Linked DNA regions of Rhinolophus ferrumequinum. The protein of the gene in region 2 interacts with the protein of the main gene of each other region in a biochemical or structural test. Links are inferred from orthologs where the notes say so. Each region holds a gene or a part of one and is shown on either strand. Other genes may lie near its edges.

Region 1 (12,428 bases), on a different chromosome or scaffold from region 2:
GCAGTGAAAGAGTCAAAGATTATTGCTGCTTTTGCAAATCTTTAAACTGACAAAGGCTTCTGGAAGAATTTATGACAAGTTTATCTTTTCTGAAAAGCAATGTTTCTATAAATCCTACCAAACTGCTATGAATAAGGCTGTAAATCACTTCATTGGCTTGAGTAATGGAACTTGTATTTCATGAAACCATGCCAAGAAACCTAGACACTTTCACTGAGAAGACGCATTGACATTGAGTCTTCTGTAATATTTAATACCTATCTTTCCCCAAAAAAAGATGAATTTTGATATTGATTGAAAATATTTTTACCATGAATTTACTGAAAAGAAAATAAATAGAAATCTATGGCATTAAGTCTGATGGTTTTAAAGAGGTTCATTAGTCACCAGCAGAGAAAAATAAGTTAGAAGCAACAGAAAATAAATATAACTTCATTCACTAAATCAGTGTGTCCATAAGTTCAGATTTTATCTGTAATTAAAATTTGTACATCCAGTTCTAATGGATGAATAATGTTCAGTGCTTCTTTCTGGATGACTTTTTTTCAGTCTTGCTTTAAGTTTGTTTGACAGAACAGAAACTCCTTTGAATGTTTCACTTTTCTCTTTCCCATTATATCCATATATTCTCATAGAGAAACATAGAATCTGGTAGCTAACTGCACTTAACATTCAATAGCGGGGAACTCCTGCGGGGACAGAAGGGTACATGTTACATATGTATATACTAGTGAAATGAGTGACATGTTCAGTGCTTGGAGGCAGCTCTGTGTACCTTTAGTTAGAAGACTGACTGACATTCTGGGCCTTGAGTTGTATAAGTGCTGTTCAGTATTACTCATTTTTTGTTTCAGGTGGTGTCAGAACCTAAAAGAAATTGAGCCAAGCACAAAAGAAATAGGCTAAGGGCAAAAGTAAACCGGTAACCCCAGAGGTTCATAATCTCCTCAGGCCTTTCAAACACTGGTCAGTGATGTGTATGTGTTTATTTACACCCCTCTTGTTTTTTACAAAGGATTTAATGACAGTTAAAGATGTATTCACTACCACAAGACACAATAAATGAAAATTGGAAAGAAACTGAGTCAGAGGGACAGTAGGGGTAGAGAAGTGGCGAGCTCCATGCCATGGGGTCTTGAACAGGGGGTCACAAACTCCTAGTTCAGAGGACCAGGTAGATAATGTGAAGTCCTCATCTTTACACCCATGCACTACAAAAAGACTATGTTTGTGGAGCAATGGTGGGAAAAAGGGTCAGAGAGGTGCTTCAACTAACTCACAGCTCAGCAAGATGTACTATGCTTTTGCTATTTTGTTTGTGAACATTAAATTCTGCTGTTGAAAACAAGAAAATTAATGGGATGGATTAAACTCACTAGATGTGTGTGGGGACAGAGCCCCAGAAAGCAGTTTCCAGGCTCTCGGCCTCACATAGAAAGGTGCTCACCATGTCCTGCGTTCTTATGTGGAGAGCGGGACCAGAGACCCCGTAGGCCGCCCCACACGACAATGTGTTAAGCATAGATAAGGAAGTTAGTAACCTATTAGGTCAAGAAGAAAACAAATATTCGCAATGTTAATATATATACAGGAAGCATTAATTCACCACCCATTGGTGGTGCCTATTTCGGTTCTGAGAAATACAAGTAAAACCCATAGCTGCTAATGAGACTAATTGGCATTCTATAGCCATTGGCCAGGCACATCTGTCCCTCTGTATTTGCTTCAGGTAATATGCTTCTGTTCCCAAGAGTTCTGCCCCGAGTGCTCTTCTTTTTATTTGGTCCTGCATCCTCTTCCCCAGTGACCTCATCTTTCACGTTCAAAGGTACCCTGGTGTACATCGGAATCACCCCTGTCTAGCCCATAGGTACTGGTCTCCACTTGGACATCATGTGGATGCCCCACGGGCACCTCAAATTTCATATCTCCACGACATCTTCTCTTCTCCCAAACAGCCTGTCAACCCATATTTCAGCCTCCATGGAAAGCATTATCTACTTAATCATTCAACCAAAATTGTTGATATCACCCCGACTCTATCCTTTTCCTCAAGTATCAAGTCCTAAGATTTCTACTTCCATAAAATATCTTGTTTTTCTCTACCCATCATCTCCAAGGATGTGACAAATTAGAACTAATCAACCTTGGCTATCAAAGACTCTTCAGAGCAAAGACACACGTACTGAACATGATGGACAAGGACGTAAAGATCTACCTTGGTTTATCTCTCCACTCTTATCCAAGTCCCGCTCTCTATTTTGACTTCTTGTCATTTCCCTGTGTGAACTCTGACTACTGACAGATGGCTGAACGAGCAGTTATCTTTCTCACATCTGTGATGTAGCCTCATTGTTTTCCTGTCTACGTTCTCTCCTCTCTCAACCTTCCCATGCCATCATTCAACTTTTTTTTTTCCTGCTAACTCTTAATCTTCTTTCATGTTTTTTTTTTTTTCACTAGGATGTCAGCTCCTCTAGGAAACTTTCCTGAAACCTCAGGCTCACCCCTGTCATCACCCTCCATCCCTGGCCTTTATCTGAATTTAGTGCCCTCCCTTTGTGTTTCCATGACAGTCTGAGGTCCCTCTCTCATCACACTGCCAATCAGGGTCCCAGAGGAAAGAGATGGCACACTCAAATGAGGATGATTCAAAGAGGTGTGAGAGAGGTGCACGGGAACCATAGGGATGGGACAGGAACTCTAGGTTAGTAACAGCAGACCTGGCCCCAAATCTAGGTCCAAAGAGACAAAGAGAGAGAGTGTGGTTACTAAGGCCTGGACAGAGAAAATCAAGTAGAAGAGGTTACCTGGTGAGGAGCAATGACCTTTGTTTGACAGTGACCCAGGCAACCTTGCAGAGAGAAAAGCAGAAGACTATTTTGGCCTCATTCTCCTCCCTTCTGCTTGACCTCATGCCAAAATTCCCCACTGGTCAAATGGACCAGGAGCCCGAGGACAAGGATATTAGTTAAAATAATCTTATAGCTCAGCCTATCGACTTGTAAGTATGGAGAAGAGTAGAGAATGAATCTAGAGAAGCAAATGGATTATATCTGGCACAATCACGCTTTAATGGAATTGGCTCTTTGTTCATCAGTCTCCCTCATTAGACTGAGTTACTTGAGGAAAGAGAATGTTTCTTTTATCTCTACATCCTTAGCATCTAATATGTACTAGATAATCAATGCTTATTGATTGACTCAGAGAGCATGGTGAATTGGACATTACTTGGAGGACTGTACTTTCTGAGCTTGCCATGTGCTTTCTGGAATCCAGGATGGAACGGAGAGCAGAGTGAGCTCTGTAACTTTCATCAAAAAAACAACACATCAGTTGGCCAGGAGAGGTGAATTCTCTTAGCACTCAGGGCTGGGAGGAACTGGAATTAGTCATGTGACTGCCTATACAAGGGGCACTCAATTGCATAATGGGCAATAGCTTCAACAGGAACATCACGGGTGCAGAAACACTCTTCATGAAGCCATTTAAAAATATTAGCCCTTAATAAAAGCCATGGGCGTGTTATTAAAAAGTAACCCAAAGGTGAATTGAGCTAATGAGGTCCACTTTGATTGATCTTAGAAAAACCTTGTCCAAAAAAATGATTAAGCCTTAGGCTTCAAACCCGACCCCTAAACAAATCTGCAGTGCTGTCCTCTTTGGATTATCTCTTCACTCATCAATCAATAGATTAAAAGGACCCACTGAGAAACTCAGATGGACTGAGGGACCATGGATCCATTAGAGGGCCAAAACCTGGGTCCCTGAATGTGGAATGGAGCCTCCTCATCCACCCCTGGCTAACAACTGTGTTGAGAACAAGAAATAAACCTTTAACGTGTCAAACCTCTGAGATTTGTTGGGTCTTATAGCAGTAGGTATCTTACCCTAACGACAGATATAGAATAATGTTCTAAATTCTATATCTGAGTCTGTTTTCAATGCTATCATCATGAGTATCATAATCTATTGTCCCCATTGTAATCAGTTATTTTCATGGAAGTCCTTTCCGGCTTCAATCTCATCAGTTCAGGATTATTGTATTGTTGTCTTCTACTTGAAAGACCTTCTTGCTTGGTTCATGATAGAAAACACAATACCAACATTCTGTGTATTTTATCTCTTTAGATTCTTCCAACAACTCTGAGGAATACGCAAGTGCCTATTATTGTCCCTGTTTTGCAGGTGATGAAACTGAGACCAAGAAGGTTAAGTATAAAGTGGAAAAAATAATTAATTTACAGTTATCTGAGGATGAAGCAAGAGAATAATTAGTTGGCCTGGAACCTGGCGCACGTTACAAGTTTTCTTATTTTCTTTGTAACTTTCTTATAAGTTATCTGTTGCTGTATAACAAACCACCCCAAAATAATGACTTAAAACAGTAGCAATAATTTGTTCTGCTTACAGAACCTGAACTGTAAAGACACAGGTAGCTGAGGTTGGGGGTAGGGCTGGAAAAGCTGGCTTCCTTGAACTTCTCTCTTTCTGTGGTCTCTCCACGTGGCAGCCCCAGGGTAACCATGGCAGCTGAAGGCTTACAGAGTGAGTGGAGAACGCCAGAGAGGGTGCATGCAAGAAAGACAAACAGTCAGACAGACAGGCAGACAGGCAGAAGCTCTAACACCTTAAGTCCTAGCCTTGGAAGGACATTATACTGTGTCACTTCCACCACATTTTCTTAGAAGCAAGCTACTATGGCCAACTCTTATTCATGGGGAGGAGAACTAGACTCCACTTCTTGATTGAATTTTGGAGCATGTTTTTCAACTACTACACTTTCCTTCTCTGAAATGCTTGCCTAAATTAGTGCTCATGAAGCTTAACGGTAAGTGAAATGACACATCAAAAGTCACTCAGCTGTTAAATGGTTCCACCAATATTAGATCTAATTTTGTGACTCCTGAGTCCGTGCTATTTTTTACTACCCCAGAAAAATCTCCTGTGATCAGCAGGTGGAATAGGGTAGGGAAAACATGCTAGTGCTGAAATGGAGCCAATCCTTTTCATTGCCTTAGAAAACACACTTACATTTATTTTTCAGGAAAAATATTGCCCATAATACAGTCGTCCATAAGCACTTTCCAAGTTTCTCCCAAACATCTGTGTTTTAATTTCTCCCCCAACAGATGTATCCATTTGCATTTCCCCCAGATAAATCACTTTTGCTGTTGTTCTTATTTTTGACTGTATTTATCACCTTCCAAGATCCTTTTGTATTAATTCTCAAACCCACCACTTAGGTTCATGCCACCTGCCAATTTGGAACCTTCCCTTCATTCCATCACCATGAAAGTGTGCCCTTCCTGTGGGCCAATAAGTGAAATGCTCTCTAAGTGGAGGGTGTGACAAAAAGTCTGAGGGGACTTTTTTTTTCTTTTCAAGAAGACAAAATCTCTAAGGTTGAAAATTTCTATTGAATCAAAGAGAGTCTAAATCATTCCATTTTAGAAAATCTGGGAATTTGAACAATGCTGTGGATCGGAAATCTCAGAGGTCTCATATATCAGTTTTGTAATTCTAGGCAGTAAGGTAGATTTCCCTACAGAAGCTTTACTCTGGGGATCCCCAGAAGTCTCTACAGGGAACCCTCCTTTGTGCTTTCCACACCCAAAGACTTGGGGGAAACATGGGGCAAGAGGTAGAGAATGGATAAAGAGTTTCCACTAGATATGGGTTCTCTGTGTAGACTAGCTCGATCCACAGAAACAACACATTCGTACTGTTACATTCTCTAATAACCGCATTTCTAAAAGTAAAAGGTGAAATTAATTTTAATATTATTTTATTTCCCAATATATCTAAAATACTAATATTTGAACATGTAGTTAATGTAAAAAATTCACTAGCTATTTTTCATTCTTGTTTCCATATCAAGTCATGGAATCCGACGTGTATTTCACACTTAACTGCACACCGCATTTGGGTCTAGCCACATTTCAACTCATCGACAGCCAGTAATTTTTGGTGCAGCACACATATACCCTTGGTTTCTGTTGTTTGATTGGGTCTCTGAGACCTCAACCCTTTCTTCTCTACGTACTTCCTTCAAGTTCAGATACCAACTCAAAACACCTATCCTGGAAAGGAGCTCCATCTAATGCGGCCCAACCTCCGTCATTCTCTATGCCATTATCCTGTTTTATTGTCTCAATAGCACTAATATCTTCTAAAATAATTTTATTTGTTTATATCTTATCCATCAGAATGTAAGTTTCACAGGGTCAGGAATTTTTAAAAATCTATTTTGATCCGGCTGATTTCCCGGTGCAGAGGACAGTCCCAGGCACACTGCCGACGCTCAAATACTTTTGCAGGACTAAGGAATCGCATTTCTCTGGAACCCAGCCGAAGGGGGCAGCGTCGAGTCGTGTCACAGGTGGGGCGCCCACGTTGCGCGCGGCTGCGCTCGGTCTCCTAGCTGCGTGGGAGTGGGGTGAGTGGGTGTGTGCGGGATGTGTGCGGTAGAGCGCGCCAGCGAGCGCGGAGCGCTGAGCGGGGAGGATCAGCAAGCACCGCTCACAACCCGCAGCGACTGCCCGGCCGGGCAGCTCTGAGGTGGGTGGGCCGTGCCGCCTGCCTGCCCGCGGGGTCCCCATTGGTCGCCAGCAGGCCTCCCTCTGCCCGGAAGCCAGCGAGGAGCTGAGGGGCTGCTCCGAAGCCGGAGCAGGAGAGCCCGGCTGAGCTGACGCCGGGGCGGACGCGCGGGATCCGCGCCCCTGACTCGCTCCCTTCCGCACTCGCGCCGCCGCCCGGCTGGTCTCCGGCGCTGGCGCCTGCGGTCGGCCTTCGACAGCGCTCCGGAGGGACCCGGGCAGCTGCTGGGCGCCCGGGTGAGTGGCCGCGCGCGGCTCCCTGGCTTCTCCCGGGCCCCGCCGCCTGCTTTTGCTTTCCCGATCGCGGCTCGGCTGCGTTTGCGCCGGCAGCGCCTCGGGCCATCGGGAAGGCCAAAGCCGGGAAACTTGGCTGCGGGTAGAAGTGGGATTGCAGCCCGGATGCGCCCCCAGCCCCGCGGGCCGGGTGGGAACAGGTGGTGCGGGCCGGGCCGGGCGCTTTGTGTCAGGACTCGGAAACCAGCGGCAGGCGGCCGCGCCTCCCTCGGCCGCTCCCTTCCCTCTCCTGCTCTCCCGAGCGGCCGCAAGCCGGGTCGGCCGGGTAACGGAGCGGGAATCGCCAGGAATGTGCCTCTGGGGACTGTCTGGCTCGAGGGAGGAGAGAGGGTGGCCGCGAAGGTGCGGGAGCCGAAAGGTGGCGCGGGGCTGCACCGCCGCTTCAGGCTGGAGAGGGATGCTTCCAGCGTGGCGCGTTCCTCCCGGGCAAACGCTTCATTCTTGCGCGGCGCCCCTGGAGGTGGGGAGCTGGGTGGGAGTGTGTGCAGAAAAAGGGGGGCGGGGAGGCCAGTCACTTCCGGAGCCGGTTCTGATCGGTGCAGAGAGCGGTGCTTTGGCAGTCGCGGATCTTGGGGTGTGGTTGTGCACGGCCCCACATGCGCGCCGTCGATGCGGGGCTGGGGTTGTCCCTGGCCCGTGTTTAACAAAGGGTGCTCCTCTGCACCCGGCGGGAGGGGCAGCTCCGAAGAAGTGGTCTTAAGCGAACGGGTCTTAGTCCTGGGGAGGTCCATTTCCTTTTTGGATTGTAATTTTTTTTTTGTATTATTGCCTTTTTTTTTTTTTTTTAAAGACTGGAGACTGATGCATGAGGGGCCCACGGAGGCGCAGGAGCGGTGGTGATGGTTTGGGAAGCGGAGCTGAAGTGCGCTGGGCTTTGGTGAGGCGTGACAGTTTATCATGACCGTGTTCAGGCAGGAAAACGTGGATGATTACTACGACACCGGCGAGGAACTTGGAAGGTACAGGAGGCGCACACTATTGGGTTGTGGGAATGCATAATATTGGGGGTAGTGGGCAGTGAACAAATGCAGCTTGAATCAGGCGTCTCCCTCTTCCAGAAGATGTGCAAATTACAGAGAAGAGTACCACCCCAGCGAAGGCTAAAGACCAGAAATAAACCACCTACTCCAAGGGGTTGGGGGTGGAGAGACAATTTCAGTGTTAGATTATGATGCAAAGTATATTGATCAAAACCCCTGGACGAGAACAGATTGAACTGACTGCGGTAACTCTTGTCAGCTTTTGTCCTTCCGACGACACAATGAGCAAACGCTAAGATATAATTAGAGTTAGCTCTGATGTGTGATTTAAACAGAACACACACTAATGAATAGGCTTTTAAAATCTTCCTGCTTTCCCTCTTTCGGAATTTTCAGAGTAACATGCACAAATATTGGTAGGTCCTACGGTACATGGATACTTGCCAGACGTTGATGTTGGGCTTGGATTTTGAAACTTACTGGAATCAGGAATTTAATTAGCCAGTTGGTGTTAGTGGTGGCTTTGGTTTTATTCCCAATGTTAAATTTTTAACAAATCTACGAGAGTCTAATGGGCTATTTGCATTCAGAGCCTGTTCCATTGCTGGAGGAGCTGTGATTCTGAGTGTAAAGTCTTCCATGTTCTAGGTGAACTAAGAATGATTTATTTGGGGGCATCTACTAAGGGCTAGTTTGGTTTCTTCTGGACTGGGTATTTGACAGGGTGTGTTGAGCTCTGGTCTAACTAGCAGAAAACCCAGTTTTCACATCTAGATTTAAATTCAACATACGGAATTTTACTGCAGTGAGTAAAATAGGCAAAGGGATCTTTAAACAAACAAAAAAAGTATGTATTGACTTACACGTGTATCAAAATATGTATTTTTCCATATACACCTGATGTCCTGATACAAAGCTTCGTTTACTTCATGAAAAGGAAATTCACAAAGACACACACCCTAGATTACCTAATGAAAATTATGAAAGTTGAGCTTAGCTAAAATTTTTTATAAATTCAAGTAATAGTGTAGAATGCAAGCAATTTTTAAAAAGTTACTGTAAGAGCATATTTCTGTATATGTTTAGTATTGACTGACAACCTTACTGGCTTAGGAATTGCTTACTATATATTGGAGATTTACCAAATAAGAGAGTTCTCAAAAATCCTATTTTATAGATATGTTTAAGATTTAAGATTTAAGAGTATGCAGTTAAATATTTGGTTTAACTAGAGTTAAATCACTTTATCCCTATGGTATTCAGCCAGATGAGTGGTATATGAAGTTTTCCTTTGGAAATAGGGGGGCAAAGGTGAAAAAATGTATTTTAATTCTGTTTGCGTAGTATGACCTGATTATATAAATTCTCTTGTAAAGAGAGATGATTAAAATTGGGTGAGGTGATTGCTTTATAGATTAAGTATATTGACTTTATTTTCATTAAGATCTTTTGGTAGAGTTATGAGAAAGAAAAAAAATACGGCCGCCCTGTGGCTGGTGCAGGGAGTGGGGAGTTTGTGATCTTTATTTTGTGAGAAGGCTACCTCTGCCTTTGCACTAGGGGGTGGTTTGCAGATTTGTCCCAGCATTTCGCTTTGCTTTTGACTCTGTCTACATTTCTGTATATAACTTTCTCCCCACTGTGCAAGACTAATTGACAAATTGTTTCTTGAATAATTTATGTGACCTATGAATTTGAAAGAAGTGCTCTGAAAAACTGATAGTTGGGAATTTTTTAAATGAAAGTATACATGCCCATCTAGCTGCTATATCTTTTGGTTTTGCCTAAAAATGGCTTAAACAGTTGATTTTTTTGAAGTGGTTTTCAAGCCCTGTGATTTTTATGTCTGCCTTGGAAATAGCCACTTTCTGAAAACAAGTCCTGACATAAGATAGACAAATAGGAAGGGTGCTGCTTCATGTGTCACTGAGAGAAGATTGGCAGTGGAGGTGGGAGCTTAGTGGCGGAAAATGGAAATGGGCCAATATTTGACACAAAAGCAAGGTTGTTTGTTCTAAGCAGTGCGTTATACACAAGCTAACATCTAGGATTTACGACTTTATTTACATACTACATTTAGCAGTTATCTAAATAATACCTACTCACTTACCTTATAAATGTATTGAGACAAAAAGTCCACAGCTGGAGTAGGAAAGATAGGTTTTTAAACAAGTAGAATACAATATTATTGTTGTTATTGTTATTGTTATTTTCTAGGAAAACAGAGTATGTATGTAGGAGGATGAGTGTGTGTGTGTGTGTCTGTCTGTCTATGTATGTCAGTATGTGTCTGTACGACTGCCCAGGACTGCTGTGAAAGCTCTCTGTTAACTCTAAGGAACTTTATAAAATGTTATGATTATTGCAGTAGTGGTAGAGCAGTCAGATCACTGCACAGATATCCAAAATCAGCTCTGCAACTTGCTAGCTTTATAACCCTGAACAGGTCACTTACCCTCTCTGACCCTCAGGATCTTCATCTATAAAATGAGAGGCCTGGTGCTTATTTCATGACTGTTGTGAAAATCAAGTAACCTAACACATGTAAAACTATTTTATCAACAGTAAAGAGTTAAATAAATTTACAGATATCATCTGCAGGACTATGCTGAGACATGTGGGTGTTCCAGGCAGGCTAATAACTTGGCCGGCAACTCCGTAGTCTTTTTAAGTATCTGTTTACCAATTTTGAGAAGAGAGGCCCTGTGGGAAAAGGCTCATGGAGAGACCCCTTGCTGCCAACACTTGGCCTCTCCACTCTTACTCTGTGTAATGCCACTCTGGCCTCGAACCTGCACACCTTCCCAGTGGAAGCAAGTCCTTACAGTGAATGGACCATCATCTTTGGAAGGCTCTTTGGTGACCTTTTGTGTTGACTTAGGAGGACCTTTGGGGTCTCACCCTCTGTCCTAGGAGGTAGAATAGAGAGCTATTTCCATCACATGTAGTGGTCTCTGGGAATTCTTACAAATGCAGATCTCTCCATCTGCTGTTACACTTGGGTTGTTTTTTTTTAATGCCCTAGGGTGCCTTAGCATCTCTTATCAGTTGGCACTTGGGCAGCTGCAGGCTGGCTTGTCCAACCATCGGGCTCCAGTTACACCCTTGGCTGTGGTTCAGCCTAACCTGTGAGCCTTCTGGGCACCTCTCTGAACACCGCTTTCCTGAGGGCCTGGTCTTCTTCCCTTTTCTGCTGTCTGACCTTACATGATCTTGAGACCTGGCTCCCATCTCCTGAATAAATGCCTCCATGATGCTTTCTCCCTTTTAGGAGCCAAATGACTTGCTGTCTGAAGCACTCCGTTGGTCCATGACCACAGGCTGCCTAGTGCCATGCTCTAGCATTGCTTTGTGTTACTATCATCCTTGTATTGCTCTTTGTAGTCAGCTTGAAAATTCCTTCAGGTGGTCTTTTCTTCCCGAGGGTGTGCAGTATGCTGCATAATACCAGGCACAGTTTGATCGATGCCTGAATGACTGAATGCAGGTTAGCAGGTGCAATATTGAGACCAGAATGGGGAATTAAGATGCAAATGGTGATGCAGATGCTGACGCTGATAGAGAGGCAGTGTGTGGTGTGGTTTGGCCACAACACACTCATTTGGAAAGTGGGGAGACACCTATCTTTGCAGGATGTTGTGAGAATTAGAGACAGTGGATACAAACATCTGACACATAGTCACTGCCTAAGATTATTTTAATAACCTGTTTTTCCCATCACAGCATTTACCACATTGCGTAGTCGTTACTTATTTGATTATCTGCTTTCCCCCAAGTTGTCACAGGGCTGTGACCTTGAACTTGCTCATCATTTTTATCTCTAATGCCTAATAGATGCATGACACTTACAAGGTGCTCAATAAATGCTTGCTGATTCAATGAATGGATTAATATATGTAAAGCACACACACATACACACACATGTATATTATCTTACATGTGTGTATGGCTCTCAATAAATGATGACTCTGGTGGAGATGAACTTCGGACACGAAAGCCTGCAGCTCGTAAAACTAAAAGCTACTTTTGTTTTCACATTCTCTGTGGCTGAACAGTAATGTGCACAGTAGCCAAAATCTCCAAGCACAAGATCAGTTTAAACAAAATAAGGTGGAGCATTAAGTATTTCACATTGGTTTAGATCAGGGGTGTCCAAACTGCGGCCCACGGGCCAACTGCAGCCCGCGATCCATTGTTAATTGGCCCGCAGCAAATTCCAAAAATATATTTAGTTTACTTAAATAAACCAGGTGAGGCAAGACGTACTTCACCTCGAGTGAGTGGCCGGCTGTTTGTGTATTTTACCGCATATGGCCCTTGGGGAAAAACGTTGAAAAAAGTTTGGACACCCCTGGTTTAGATGGTTGCGGGAAGCTAATAATTCCAATTGAAAGCATTCTCCTATTGGCTTAAAATCCATAGGCATTGTCATTGAAGTAAGGAATGGTAAGAACCCCACACAGTCCGAGTACATCTTTCAATTGGTTTACTGTGGATTGCAAGAGTGAGTCCGAAGAATTCAAGGTGTTAGTGCAGATGGAAGGAGGAGAGATTC
Region 2 (12,703 bases):
AGACTGTTTGGCCGTTATCTTTTACAAATGCCTGCAATTTATGAGAAACATTTATAAATTATGATCTCTCTGCACAAAACAGACCAATGGACTTAATTCCTTAATCTGGTTTTACCAAAATCTTGATATTTGATATTTTTTAAAACACAAAATGGTGATTTCTGATTCCCTCATTAATTTTGTAAACTGCTCCTCTAAGGTTCAGGACAAAATATATAAAATATTGCTCATGTTGCATGAAAAGATCAAAAGGAAATATGCCAGGGTCCAAAAATGAACTTTATATGGAGTACTGTATTTCCTATATTCTAAGATGCATATTTTTCATAGTTTATACAGTCCATCGTAATAGTTCTACAGAAGTAAAAAACAAAACTAAGAAAAAAGGAAAAATCACATGCACAGGTGACAAAAAATAGTGTCACTGGGATGCTATGGATAATGGCTGAGGGCCAGACGTAATTCGGAGGATTCTTTTTTTAAAATTTTTATTAAATGTATTGGGGTGACAATGGTTAGTAAAATTATATAGGTGTCAAGTGTACATTTCTGTAATACATCATCTAGAGATTACATGGTGTGCTCATCACCCAGAGTCAGAGGATTCTTTAGTCGGTGAAAGAGAGAAAAGCTCAAAATACAGCTTTGTGATGTTGAAAACTGAGGTATCAATTATATGGCTAAATATGTGCTATACCGCCAGTTAGTAAAAGCTTTGCATGTCTTTAATGCAACATTCACATTTCTAAAAAGTTGTTCCTAAATCAACTGTGTGGCTTGTGAGGCAATACAGTAAATAACTATGTATTTGCATTACAAAGGCATAACTTGAAAACCAAGAACATGGTCCTTTCTTTCTCCAACAGCAAGCTGTTTTTCCAAAGTACTCATCAATGCAATCTTTCTGTGCTGGGCCTCAGCCCACAAGTGATTGTGTATTCTAGAGTACAAACTGTCCATAATTCCTGACGTGCGGCAAACAGCACTGTTTATGCTTGAGAATCGAAAGACTGAAATATAAAGCCGAGCAGTTAAAGGTGTGTTTTTTCCACCCACATTTAAGAAGGCTTTTCACAATTTAACAATTCAGAAGGCTTTTAACCACCATGCTTAATGGTGCCTTGTACGTAGTAGATGCTGAAAGAATAAAGACACGGTTCAACAGTGGTACAATCAAGCTTTAAAAAACAACAACCCACCATTAAAGATAAGACCAAATTCTTATCCTTTCTAGAAGGTCCAGCTCAAATATCACCATCTCTGTGAAGCTCTCATCTCCACAGAGAAGAGGTTCCCTCCTCTGTGTTTACAGCTCTATAAAAATCCTGTTCCTGGTGTATTATGTTGTCTGTTTACGTGTCTTTCCATCATTTCATCTGTATATAAGCAGTACATAGGCATAGAACAAGTACTATATAAATGTTTGGTGAGTGAATAAGACAATTCCTAATAAGGTTGGGCTCAGCTTTCTATTTATATATTTAAGGAAAGATGGAAGAATTACATTGCAAAATGTTTTAGTGTCTGTAAATGAAATAATTAAAAAATAATCTCTTGGGAAACAGGCACATTGTTGGTGAGACTGTAGATTGGTATTATCTCTATGGAGGGGAATTAGTCAATATCTACCAAAATTTTTACATCTAAGAATTTATTCTATACTTACACATTTGGGCAAAAACCAGTTAGAAGGATATTCGTTGCAGAACTGTTTGTAACAGCAAAACATTTGAAATAATTTGTCTCTCAAATGGAATGGTTAACTATGATACCTACAGATAAGGGAAAACTATATAAAAAGTTTTAAAGAAAACTTTTAAAAGTTTTAAAACTATTAAAATGAATAAGGTAGGTTTCTATGTATTTGTCACAAAGTACAAAATAATTTCTGAAGTGAAAAAAGGTTACAGAAGAATGTGCAATTCGTATGCTGACAGTTTTTTTTTAAAAAGAGGAGGTATTCTGTAAATGCTTGTATATGCATTACAATGTCTGTGAAAGAGTGCATAAGAAACTGTTTACAGTGGTTTTCTCTGGAGAGGAAAATTGAGAGCTGGGGTCACCATTGGGAGACTTACTTTTCATTGAATATTCTATTTTTTCCTTTTTAAATGTTGTATCATGTACCCCTCCACATAATAGCTACTTAAATGAATGCAATGAAGCTTTACTAATAAAATGCCAATCAATTTCACAAAATTTTATAATTAAGCATTAGAATCCCTTTAACAATAATTTTCTTGTTCACAGTCCCAGCTCCAGGGGAAATGTCTGCAGATAAGCATTCAGTCATTCAAACACTTATTCAGTGATCATTAGTTTCCAGGCATACAAGGATACAGAAGACATAGGAGACTCAAAGAGCTCATACTCTGGTAGGGAGAATGAATATGTATTCAAATAATTTCAATATAAAGAGTTACTTCTCATTCAAAGCTTCTCCAATAGCAGCTAAGTATAAACTCTACTTCCCAGAGACTGCCTTCTGGGTTGCAGCAAGAAAGGCAACCCAGGGCCGGCTCGGTGGCTCATGAGGTTAGAGCTCCATGCTCCTAACTCTGAAGGCTGCTGGTTCGATTCCCACATGGCCCAGTGGGCTCTCAACCACAAGGTTGCCGGTTCATCTCCTCTAGTCCCACAAGGGATGGTGGGCTCCGCCCCCTGCAACTAAGATCGAACAGGGCACCTTGAGGTGAGCTGCTGCTGAGCTGCCGCTGAGCTCCCAGATGGCTCAGTTGGTTGGAGCACGGGCTCTCAACCACAAGGTTGCCAGTTCGATTCCTTGACTCCTGCAAGGGATGGTGGGCTGTGCTCCCTGCAACTAGAAATGGCAACTAGACCTGGAGCTGAGCTGCGCCCTCCACAACTAAGACTGAAAGGACAACGACTTGACTTGGAAAAAAGGCCTGGAAGTACACACTGTTCCCCAATAAAGTCCTGTTCCCCTTCCCCAATAAAATCTTTTAAAAAAAAAAAGGCAACCCAACAAGGAAATGCCCTTTGGAAGTGTGACTATGACTTAATGTAGGCATCAGGTAAAAGTAAAACCAGACAGCAATGGGTAGGCCAGGCTTTGGCCAAATGATGGTGATGAAGAAAGAGTCGTAACTTAATTAATGGCATTAGAATTCTCCAACATGATTTTGAATAACTGGCAGTGTTATATAATAAAGCAAAAAAAAAAAGTATGAGTAATTAAGTTGAATATTTTATACAGAAATTACCGATAAAAACATCTCCATGCTGTGCCTTCCTTCTCTTTTTAAAAAATAATGAGCTCTCATTTTAGCAATTACATAAAATACAACATTTATGGCAGCTGGGGATGAGAAGCAATCAGTGGCTTCTGCAGTGATGTTAAAAGTTGAAGTGATGGAGTATTACTATATGTGTAGTTAATTTCATGTACTTTCAGTTAAACACTATTTTTCTATAGAGTAAGATATAAATAAGATAATGGCATTTGTTACATCCATAACATCTTTTCATCTGGAGATCTCAAAGCATTTGCAAGCTTTCATTAATTCCCAATATCTTGGTCAGATACAATAGAGAAAAACACTGGGTCAAAGAGAAGGTGAATAGCTCAAGATCAGTAGAAAAATCAATAACAGATTTTGAAAAAGCTATGTATTTTGGTTCTTGCTCCTGGTTCTAAGTCATATCCCCATCATGAAATATTTCTTTTCTTAAAAGGGTTTGCCACAGCTCTTTATCTTTGATGTTAAATAACAAATGATTAAATGTAGTTCAATAAATGTAAAATGATTTTAAAAAATAAGAACTAGAACTGGGCTGATTTTTGTTTCAGTAAAGATCCTATTTGTTAGAACAGATTGAGAAAATGCAAAACTAAATTCTAGGGTGGGGAGGGCCTATAATTGTCTATATTTTCCCACACTTTTCTATGGACTAAGTTGTTATGTCCAATACCTTTTTTACTCCTCAACCATCTCTACAATGCAGCTATTTTAACTAACAGAACAAATGTATTACCAAACATCAATGAAATAACCAAAACCATAATTAGACATTGAGTGCAGTGTATTATAAATAATAATTCTTATACGGCAACAGAGTCCTGTACATTCTATGGGGAACTGAAGACTATAATAAACCCATACAGTACCATAGTACACTTAACGATTATCACAAAAAATTACCACGCAGAAAGGAAAATTTAAATGTTATCTACATAAAATTCATAGTGCTCTTTAGAAATTTAAATTCTGTATTTTACTCTATTAAAAAACCAATTCCTTTTACTTTTGACTTATTTTAGAACAAGAGTCATTAGTTCCGAGTAGAAGTTTGAAAGATTTGTAAACATTTTTTTAAAAAATTCACATGTAGCCTTGAATTATCACGTGCTGAATTTCAATCCGTGAAACCGAAGGTTTTCTTGCTAAACGCCTACCTGCGCATTGGCTTTCCTTCCATGCACCATGGAAAGTACCCTTCACCACACTCTAAAGCCGAACCTAAGACAACAGAAAAGCAGTAACTTAATAAAAACGATTTCTGATCTTTCCAGTAACCATCTCTATATAATCATTTCGTTCAGTGATAAACAATTTTATATTCTATTGTATCACAGGCGTTTTGCAGACAAACAATCATAACCTTTACCTAGTACCTGTAAGAAGATAACTATCTTTACTCTGAATGCTAAGACGGTTGTAAGTGAAGGTGAGACAAAGTGCTCTTGTAATAGTCCCGATTGCTAGGTTCGTGTCATCTCTCCTCAAAAAGTGCTTGGAGACATTTAACTTCGGCCTCACCATCAAGTGTACCTACAAAGCTCTCACCAGACACCCACAGCTGTACTAACACGACAGATGGAAAAGGGAACACGCTGGTTTGACAACGCACCTGCAAGTAACTTGAGCGGGTGACAGAAGTCGGAGGGGGGCATTTGCCTTTAAAGACAAACATCTCCACTTCCCACAGCGCGGGCAGCTTGAACAATACAGAAACACTACGGTTCCACGATTTAAGATTCTCTCTACAAGCCCTTTCCTCAGTCCCCGAAACGACGTCCACCACCCACTGGGCAGCATCGCGCTAGGTCCCCAGGGTGAAATGGCACGCACAGTGCCCACTTCCTTCCCCCGAGTTCCAAGCCCTGTCTGGGGAAGCTGTCCGAGGAAGCCCAAAGCCCCCACACAGGACAGCCCTGCGCTTTTCCTGGCTCGGGGGTAGGCCTGTCAGCCAGCTCGATCGCCGTCTGCTTGGTACCCCCGAGGCCCGGCCCCAGCGCCCCAACTGCCCCTACTCGACTGACAGGCGGCGGGCGCAGCACGGCCCTCACCCCACCCCGCGGTTCAGCAATTTGGGGCTGCAGATGTGCACAGCCAGGTCGGGGCGCTGTCCAGTGTCGCTGCTCGCAGGAGGCTAACTTACCGGCTCTGGCACTTTCTTTCCCTCGGCCACAGCCTCCCCTACCTCCTCCGCCCGCCGCCCCCTCTCTGCCTCCTCCTCTGCGGCCGCAAGCGCAAGCAGGATGCAGCTCCTCGAGCTATTTCCTCCCTGTCCCTCGCCCCTGTTCAGCAGCAGGAAGTGGTTCTGATCCTAAATCGTTCTCCCCTGGAACACACTGACTCCGCCAAGAGGTTCCGGGGCGGCTCAGGAAGTAGCAGCTCTCTTTGCTGGGGGTTCAGCTAACCGCAAGCACCGCGCATCTTCCAGTCCGCTTTCTTGTATTCCCAAAGGGTGACCACTTGGCGAGTTCCTCGCTGAATGGCAGTATTTGAATACTGAAGCCTCCTCCTTTCCCCTTTTTTCCCCACAGGAGAAGGCAACAGAAAGATGGGAGTAGTCACGGAAAGCTAGGAATTTGGGGTTATTTGTAGCAGGTGAGTCTCCTGTTGGCACAGTCTTGTCCCTAATTGTGGATAGAATGATTGATGCATGCATACATGGGGTCCTTCTATTACCCTGTTTCCCCGCAAATAAGACCTAGCCGGACCATCAGCTCTAATGCATCTTTTGGAACAAAAATTAATATAAGACCCGGTCATATATAAGACCTGGTATTATATTATATTATACCCGAAATAAGACCGGGTCTTATATTAATTTTTGCTCCAAAGGATGCATTAGAGCTGATGGTCCGGCTAGGTCTTATTTTCGGGGAAACATGGTACATCACCCAGACATCCGTAAAGAATGAAGGACATAATCATATGTAAAGAATGAAGGACATAATCCCTCAGCCAGTAGAAGTGCTGTTGACTGAGAGATCTTATCTGTTAGCCTTCTGGGAAGCACCTTTGTGGAAGAAGTTGCCTGCCCACAGCCTCACTCCTTTCCTGGGGTTCCTTGCAACCAGTGACTCATTCATGCTGGGGTACAAAGGCACGGTTTCGTTGCCCCATATTGGGACAGTTCTAAAGGGCCATCCAAACTTCAGAGCTCCCCAGACGGTCTGCATAGGCGTTTGTTGAGACTACCTTGCAGCCCAACTTTCCCCTCTGCTTTGTTTCCTTACCTTTCTTTCCAGGTGTTGATCTCAAGAGCATCCCTTAATAAATTTCCTGCCTGCTAAACTCTGTCTCAGAATATGCTTCCTGGGGAGTCCAGGAATGACAGGAGTGGTTCAAGATGCAGTCACTTAGATGGGATTTTTGGTGTGGATCATCTGCTGCCAGGCTAGAAAAGAGGATGTCATCACTGGTGCAAGAGGGAGTACAGGTAGTCCCTGACACAATCTAGTGCCACTGATGAAACTATTAGCAAACTGTATATTCTGGTGGAAGGAAACACTCTAGTAGGTGCAATATATTAGGTGTTAAAGATATTTAGAAGAAATATGTGTGGGCTGTGGCTAAGCTCATTTGATACTATCTAATGAAATGCAGTGATAAATTGTCTATTAAAAACTAAGCATCAACGTCAAAGGATTGTCTAGATAATGAATACATCTTCTGCCACTAGAGAGCAGGAAAATCTGAGGAGCAGGTCCAAGACTTAATCATAAGAGTAGGAGAACCTCGAAGAAGAGTAAACTCTCAATATTGGCATGTCTGCTATGCCAAGGACAGGGTGCTAGTTGGGAAAGAGTGGGAATTTCACATATGGTATGGGGACATCTGGCTGAGTACACATGGGACTGAATTCTTAGAGTGCTGGATCAATGGAGACAATACAAAGTTGAGTAAGGGAGACTTAATTAATTTGGAAGCTTTCCCCTGGGATACAGGATTTAACAACTTCACAAGGATCTCAGGAGATGGTGCAAATATGCCGGAAAAAATGGCCTCATAAGCATGGAGAGTAATGGCCCATACTAAATGAGGTAAAGATGCCAGGATTGCCAAGGAAGGCAGTGGAACTAGGGATTAAAAGTTTCAAAAACGTGAGCAAGCTAGAGTGAATATACTGTGTAAGCCTGGAAAACCCACCAGGCAATTACATTCCATGGGAGGGACCAGAGGATACATCATTTAACAAAGTAATAAGGCAGGTGCTGGTGAGAGGGGTACCCAGAATCGCTAATAAGTTCAGTAATGGCTCTCCTCCACAAACTAGATTGAAGGTAGGAGACTCCTATACAGAACTGAGCTTATGGATTGCAATGGAGACGTTAAGTATTTAGAGACCTTCCTCATTTTTTTTTTACAGCTGCATAATCCTTGTGAAAAAAAGAACGTTATCAAAATGTTCATTTTCAAGCCAAGCTACTCAACTTTCAGCTCAAATGTTCTGAGCTTCTCTAAAATATGATATCCTCCCTAATGATTTTCGCATAGAAATAGTAAAGAAATGAATATTTTCCTTCACCCTTTGTCTTCAGTAGAAAAATGTCCCTGTCTTCACTCTGCTCTGTGTGAACATTTATATAATTTCTGGGTAAGCTTGACGCTTCTCTGCTGGTTTCTTTTCTTTTTATTTTTTAAACAGGACTTTATTGGGGAATAGTGTGTACTTCCAGGACTTTTTTTTTTTTTTTCCCCAGTCAAGTTGTTGTCCTTTCAATCGTAGATCAGCTTCAAGTTGTTGTCCTTTCAGTCTTAGTTGTGGAGGGCGCAGCTCAGCTCCAGGTCCAGTTGCTGTTGCTAGTTGCAGGGGGCACAGCCCACCACCTCTTGAGGGAGTCCAACTGGCAACCTTGTGGTTGAGAGGACGTGCTCCAACCAACTGAGTCATCTGGGAGCTCAGTGGCAGCTCAGCTCAAGGTGCCATGTTCAATCTTTAGTTGCAGGGGGCGCTGCCCACCATCCCTTGTGGGACTTGAGGAACTGAACCGGCAACCTTGTGGTTGAGAGCCCACTGGCCCATGTGGGAATCCAACCGTCAGCCTTCGGAGTTAGGGTCACGGAGCTCTAACCACCTGAGCCACCTGGCCAACCCTCTGCTGGTTTCTTTTGATACCCGGTGCCGCCCTCCCCCCTACCCCTTTTTAAAAGTCGTCTGTTTTGGACCTGAAATTCCTGAATCAGAAGATAGTTTCCAAGTTCCTTCCACTCCTGCCACAGTTGGCACTTTGTGAGGTCTCAGGAAACGCTACTTGTTGGTGACAATGACCATAAACCATAAGAGAAAGATCTCCAATACTTAAAAAATTAAGTGAGCTGCGCGTTATAATTACGATCTTTCATAGTTTTCAGAATGCATCCTCATATTTCTGGAAAATTCTTCTATTTAAAGGCCAAAGATAATACTAGGACAGGCCGGCAATCAATGTGCACTTCTTATTTTCAAATTTTATTTTTTAAAATGTAAAATAAATATAGACCACATTTCATAAAACTTACAAAATAAAGAAAATACCCGGCAGGCCACCGTCCGAACACAACGATTGAAGTCACTCCGACTTGAATCATCCATCTCCATCGGGCCCCTCCCTCTCCCCGCACCTTGCAAATTTTACCTGCGCGCGCAGCCGGAACCACGGCGTTGGGGTGGTGCTACGGCACGCCGGGTGCGCCGTCACCATGGTAACCGCGGAAGCCCCGGGGCCAGGAGATCGGTGAGTGCAGGGTACCCGCGCCGAGGGCCGTGGTGGCCGTGGGGGCAATGGCCTTCTCCCGGGCAGGTGCTGGAGGGGAGGAGTCTTTGTCTCTGCTCTGAGCTTTGAGCAGCGGGACTTGTCTCGCGGGCAGCCTTGGGCTGGGGGGTTTGGGGAGGACGGCGAATCCCGGGAGGTCCCTGCGGGATTCAGGTCCAAAGGCAAACTCCGCTGCCCAGAAGTGGCCGGTACCCCCTCCGCCAGACCTCATGGGTCGCAAGGCAGGGCTGCCACTCAGTATCTTCTTTCTCAGACCTTCCCTTTGTTTAATCCTGGTGCCCAGGGCAGCCCTTGGGGAACTTGTCCTTGAGCTGGGACGTGAAATCCTCAAGGGACTGCATTTTTAAAACTTGGCTTAAAAATTAGATCCCTAACACCAATTCCTCTACCACAGCCTCATGCTGCCTTGTCTGCTTCCTTGCCCTTTGTTTATGCTACTCCTACCTGGATTGTCTTTTCCCCCCGTTCTTTTAAGGCCCCTACTCTTCAATACTGAAGTGCCACCTCTACTGGGAAGGCTTTCCGGGACCTCCCCACTTTTCTTTGTTCTTTACTCTCAAAGCGCCCTTTGCTGATCTCCCTTATATCCTATATCTCACGCTGCCACTGATGATTTACTTGTGTCTCCCCACTGGACTCTTAACGGCCAGTGGGGTGGGGACCAGGACCTGTCTGATTTTCTGTTATTAGTGCCTCAGCAGCCTCCAAAGAGTTCACTTTATAACAAAACATATATTTAAAACAAAAATATTAGTGAGAAAGTTAAATTTTTTAAATATATAGAATATTGATAAAAGGAACAAAGGAAAGGCTATATTGTGATCATCCTATTACTACTTATATTCGCAGTAAACATACTTGAAAATATCTTAAAGCTTCTGTATTATACCGTATTTCCCCGAAAATAAGACCTAGCTGGACCATCAGCTCTAATGCGTCTTTTGGAGCACAAATTAATATAAGACCTCGTATTATATTATTATATTTATTATATATTATATTATTATATTAAAGACCTGGTCTTATAATAAAATAAGACCGGGTCTTATATTAATTTTTGATCCAAAAGACACATTAGAGCTGATGGCCGGCTAGGTCTTATTTTCAGGGAAACACGGTAAGAAGGAAAAACAAACCCCACATGCTCTGTCTTCCAGTGACAGAATATGATAAAGGACACCATCAGCAATAAACTGCCAAACACATGACAGGAGAGTTTACTTTTATTCTCCTAGTTATTTTCTTTTAAACGTCAGGTCTAAGGATAAATATCCCGGAAGACTTCAGTTTGTCCTTTTCTTTCAGAAAGGCTGATTTCAGTTTAGGTCAGATTTGGACTGGAACAGTCTTGAGGGTTTGACAATAGATCGGGGTGGCTTGAGGGTGAGTTTTAGTCAAGTGGTTCTCAAAGTGTGGTCTGAGGAATCCCTGGGAATCCTTAAGACATTTTCAGGGAGTCTACCAGTCAAACTATCTTCATATTGATTCTTAGGCATTATTTGCCTTTGCATTCTCACTCTCACGTATTACAGTGGTTTTTCCAGAGGCTACATGACATGGTCTCACATCACCTGTCATCACAGTGAATGCAGAAGTGGATATGGAAATCCATCTGTCCTTTATGAAGCCAGACGATTAAAGAGATTTGCAAAAATGTAAAATAACGCCACACCTCTTGTTAATATTTTTTGTAAAATACACTTATTTTACGTAAGCTATATTTTTATGTTAACATGTAATTGTTTTTAAGGTAAATTAATAAGTATTTTAAAGATTTCTCAGTTTTAACTTCTGATATGGTAAAAAATTAATACAATAATCCACAGAAACAAAAATTGGCAGGGTGGGGGGAAGTGGTTCTCAATTTTTAACATTGTAAAGAGCCCTGAGATCAAAGAATTTGAGAACTGCTGCCCTAATCATGTTAGTTCTGGACTGATAGGGAAATTAAGCTGCATTTAAAGATGTTCCAAGGGTAGCTTTGAGTATTCTGGCCTGAATCATATTTCCGGATTTGATGTAGTTTATCTCCAAATCTTTGAATTTACCTGGGATCAGATTGATCTCTAGATGCAGAATAATCAAGTGTTTGGTGGTGGCAGAGTTGAAAATCATTTACTCAAGAATCTATACAGCAAAACTGTACTTAAAGAAGAAATAATAGCATTACCATCTTTTGTTTTGCTTCATGGATGCTTTCACTGGAGGGCTGGGGATTATTTAATGATGATGACATCTTCTGTTTACTGAGTGCTCACCATGTGCTTGGCACATGCATCCTCTAATTTCTTTTGATTCAACAGTCATGTAAACCAGGTTCTAATGTTATTCTTATGTAAGAATAGGTAAATTGCCTAGTATGATGCAACTACCATGTTTCCCCGAAAATAAGACCTAGCCGGACAATCAGCTCTAATGCGTCTTTTGGAGCAAACATTAATATAAGACCCAGTCTTATTTTAGTATAATGTAAGACCCGGTCTTACCTAACATAACATAAGACCGGGTCTTATGTTTGCTCCAAAAGGCACATTAGAGCTGATTGTCTGGCTAGGTCTTATTTTCGGGGAAACAAGGTAAGAAGTTTCAGGGTCAGACTGTGAAATCAAGTCTTTCTGACTCTAAAACCCATTGCTCTTGGCTGTGAAGAAAAGCAGTGGGAATTTCAAGCCTGACGTTAAGAATGATTGAACACATATGATATATAAAGAATTGTAGTAAGTCTGAAAGTGGCACAAGAGAAGCATAAGGCTTTATCCTTGCCCCTATCCAGTTTACAGTCTAATTGAGTAGGTGACTTACATACTTGACACAAATAGGAAATACTGTAATACCATACTTGCTAAGTTGTATGGTAAAGACTGTCTATAATGGCCTTTGAAGTTCGGAGGAGGGAAAGGCCCCAGTGCATTTCAGAGAAGAGTCAAGGAAAGTTTTAGGAAGGAGGTAGATTTACAGCTTGGCCTTTCCTTTAGCTAGTAGGAATGGAGGAGAAAAAAGCTATTCTGGGCCTAGTTGCAGGTGTACGTATGAAATGCAAATAAGATTTTCTCAGTGTCTTCAAGGTCTTGTGCCTGGGCCCCTGTTAGACCAGGGAAGAAAGGCATTCCAAACACATCCTGGTTCTATTCTCCAAGGTTTGAATATGGATATCTTTAGCCGAAATGTTCCAGAAGATCACAGTGTTGTTGAAAGGGCGACAAAATAATTTATTGTGTAGTAGTAATGGGTACCTCTGAGAGTGAAAGACGACGCTATTGAAAATGACACCAGAGAACACATGTAACTGGAACTGTGCTGGGTACATTGGGACATGTGTCACCCAAGCAATTAACCGTCACACATGCTGTCTGATTTCTGTTAGAGTCACTCTTGTAGATTTCCTGGTATAGTTTCCCAAGTGGTTCAGGACTAATGTTTTTTGACACTCTGGGTGCCGACCCATTAATGGGTCATGAGATCAATTTATGTGGGTGGCACCCAGCCTTAAAAGAATTGAAATAAAAACATCTGTATGTTACATGTAGTAAAGAGTAATAGTATTTTGCTCAATTATACACACACAAACACACACACATACACACAAACACATACACATACATAAATGTACACAAAAATACCCATATATGCAATGTATCCAGTATAAAAGTATCCATTATGACTGAGAAATAAAACATTTGGTCACCCTGTTAA

What was found.
Region 1: the proteins of KLHL20 (region 2) and DAPK1 are reported together in a solved structure, tested with the Homo sapiens proteins (2 studies listed by BioGRID and IntAct, with this or other methods). The link is inferred for Rhinolophus ferrumequinum from reciprocal best matches to the Homo sapiens genes KLHL20 and DAPK1.

What each region holds. Positions count from the first base shown.
Region 1 is NC_046295.1:49,634,578-49,647,005, forward strand, and holds the start of DAPK1 (death-associated protein kinase 1), read left to right. Parts: upstream 1-6,285; 5' UTR 6,286-6,382; intron 6,383-6,418; exon of another isoform or gene 6,419-6,836; intron 6,837-7,683; 5' UTR 7,684-7,790; coding exon 7,791-7,852; intron 7,853-12,428. UniProt on the Homo sapiens protein: Calcium/calmodulin-dependent serine/threonine kinase involved in multiple cellular signaling pathways that trigger cell survival, apoptosis, and autophagy.
Region 2 is NC_046305.1:8,646,044-8,658,746, reverse strand, and holds the start of KLHL20 (kelch-like protein 20), read right to left. Parts: upstream 5,531-12,703; 5' UTR 5,404-5,530; intron 4,482-5,403; 5' UTR 4,441-4,481; coding exon 4,418-4,440; intron 1-4,417. Other genes in the region: ANKRD45 (ankyrin repeat domain-containing protein 45), read left to right, coding at 6,604-6,693. UniProt on the Homo sapiens protein: Substrate-specific adapter of a BCR (BTB-CUL3-RBX1) E3 ubiquitin-protein ligase complex involved in interferon response and anterograde Golgi to endosome transport.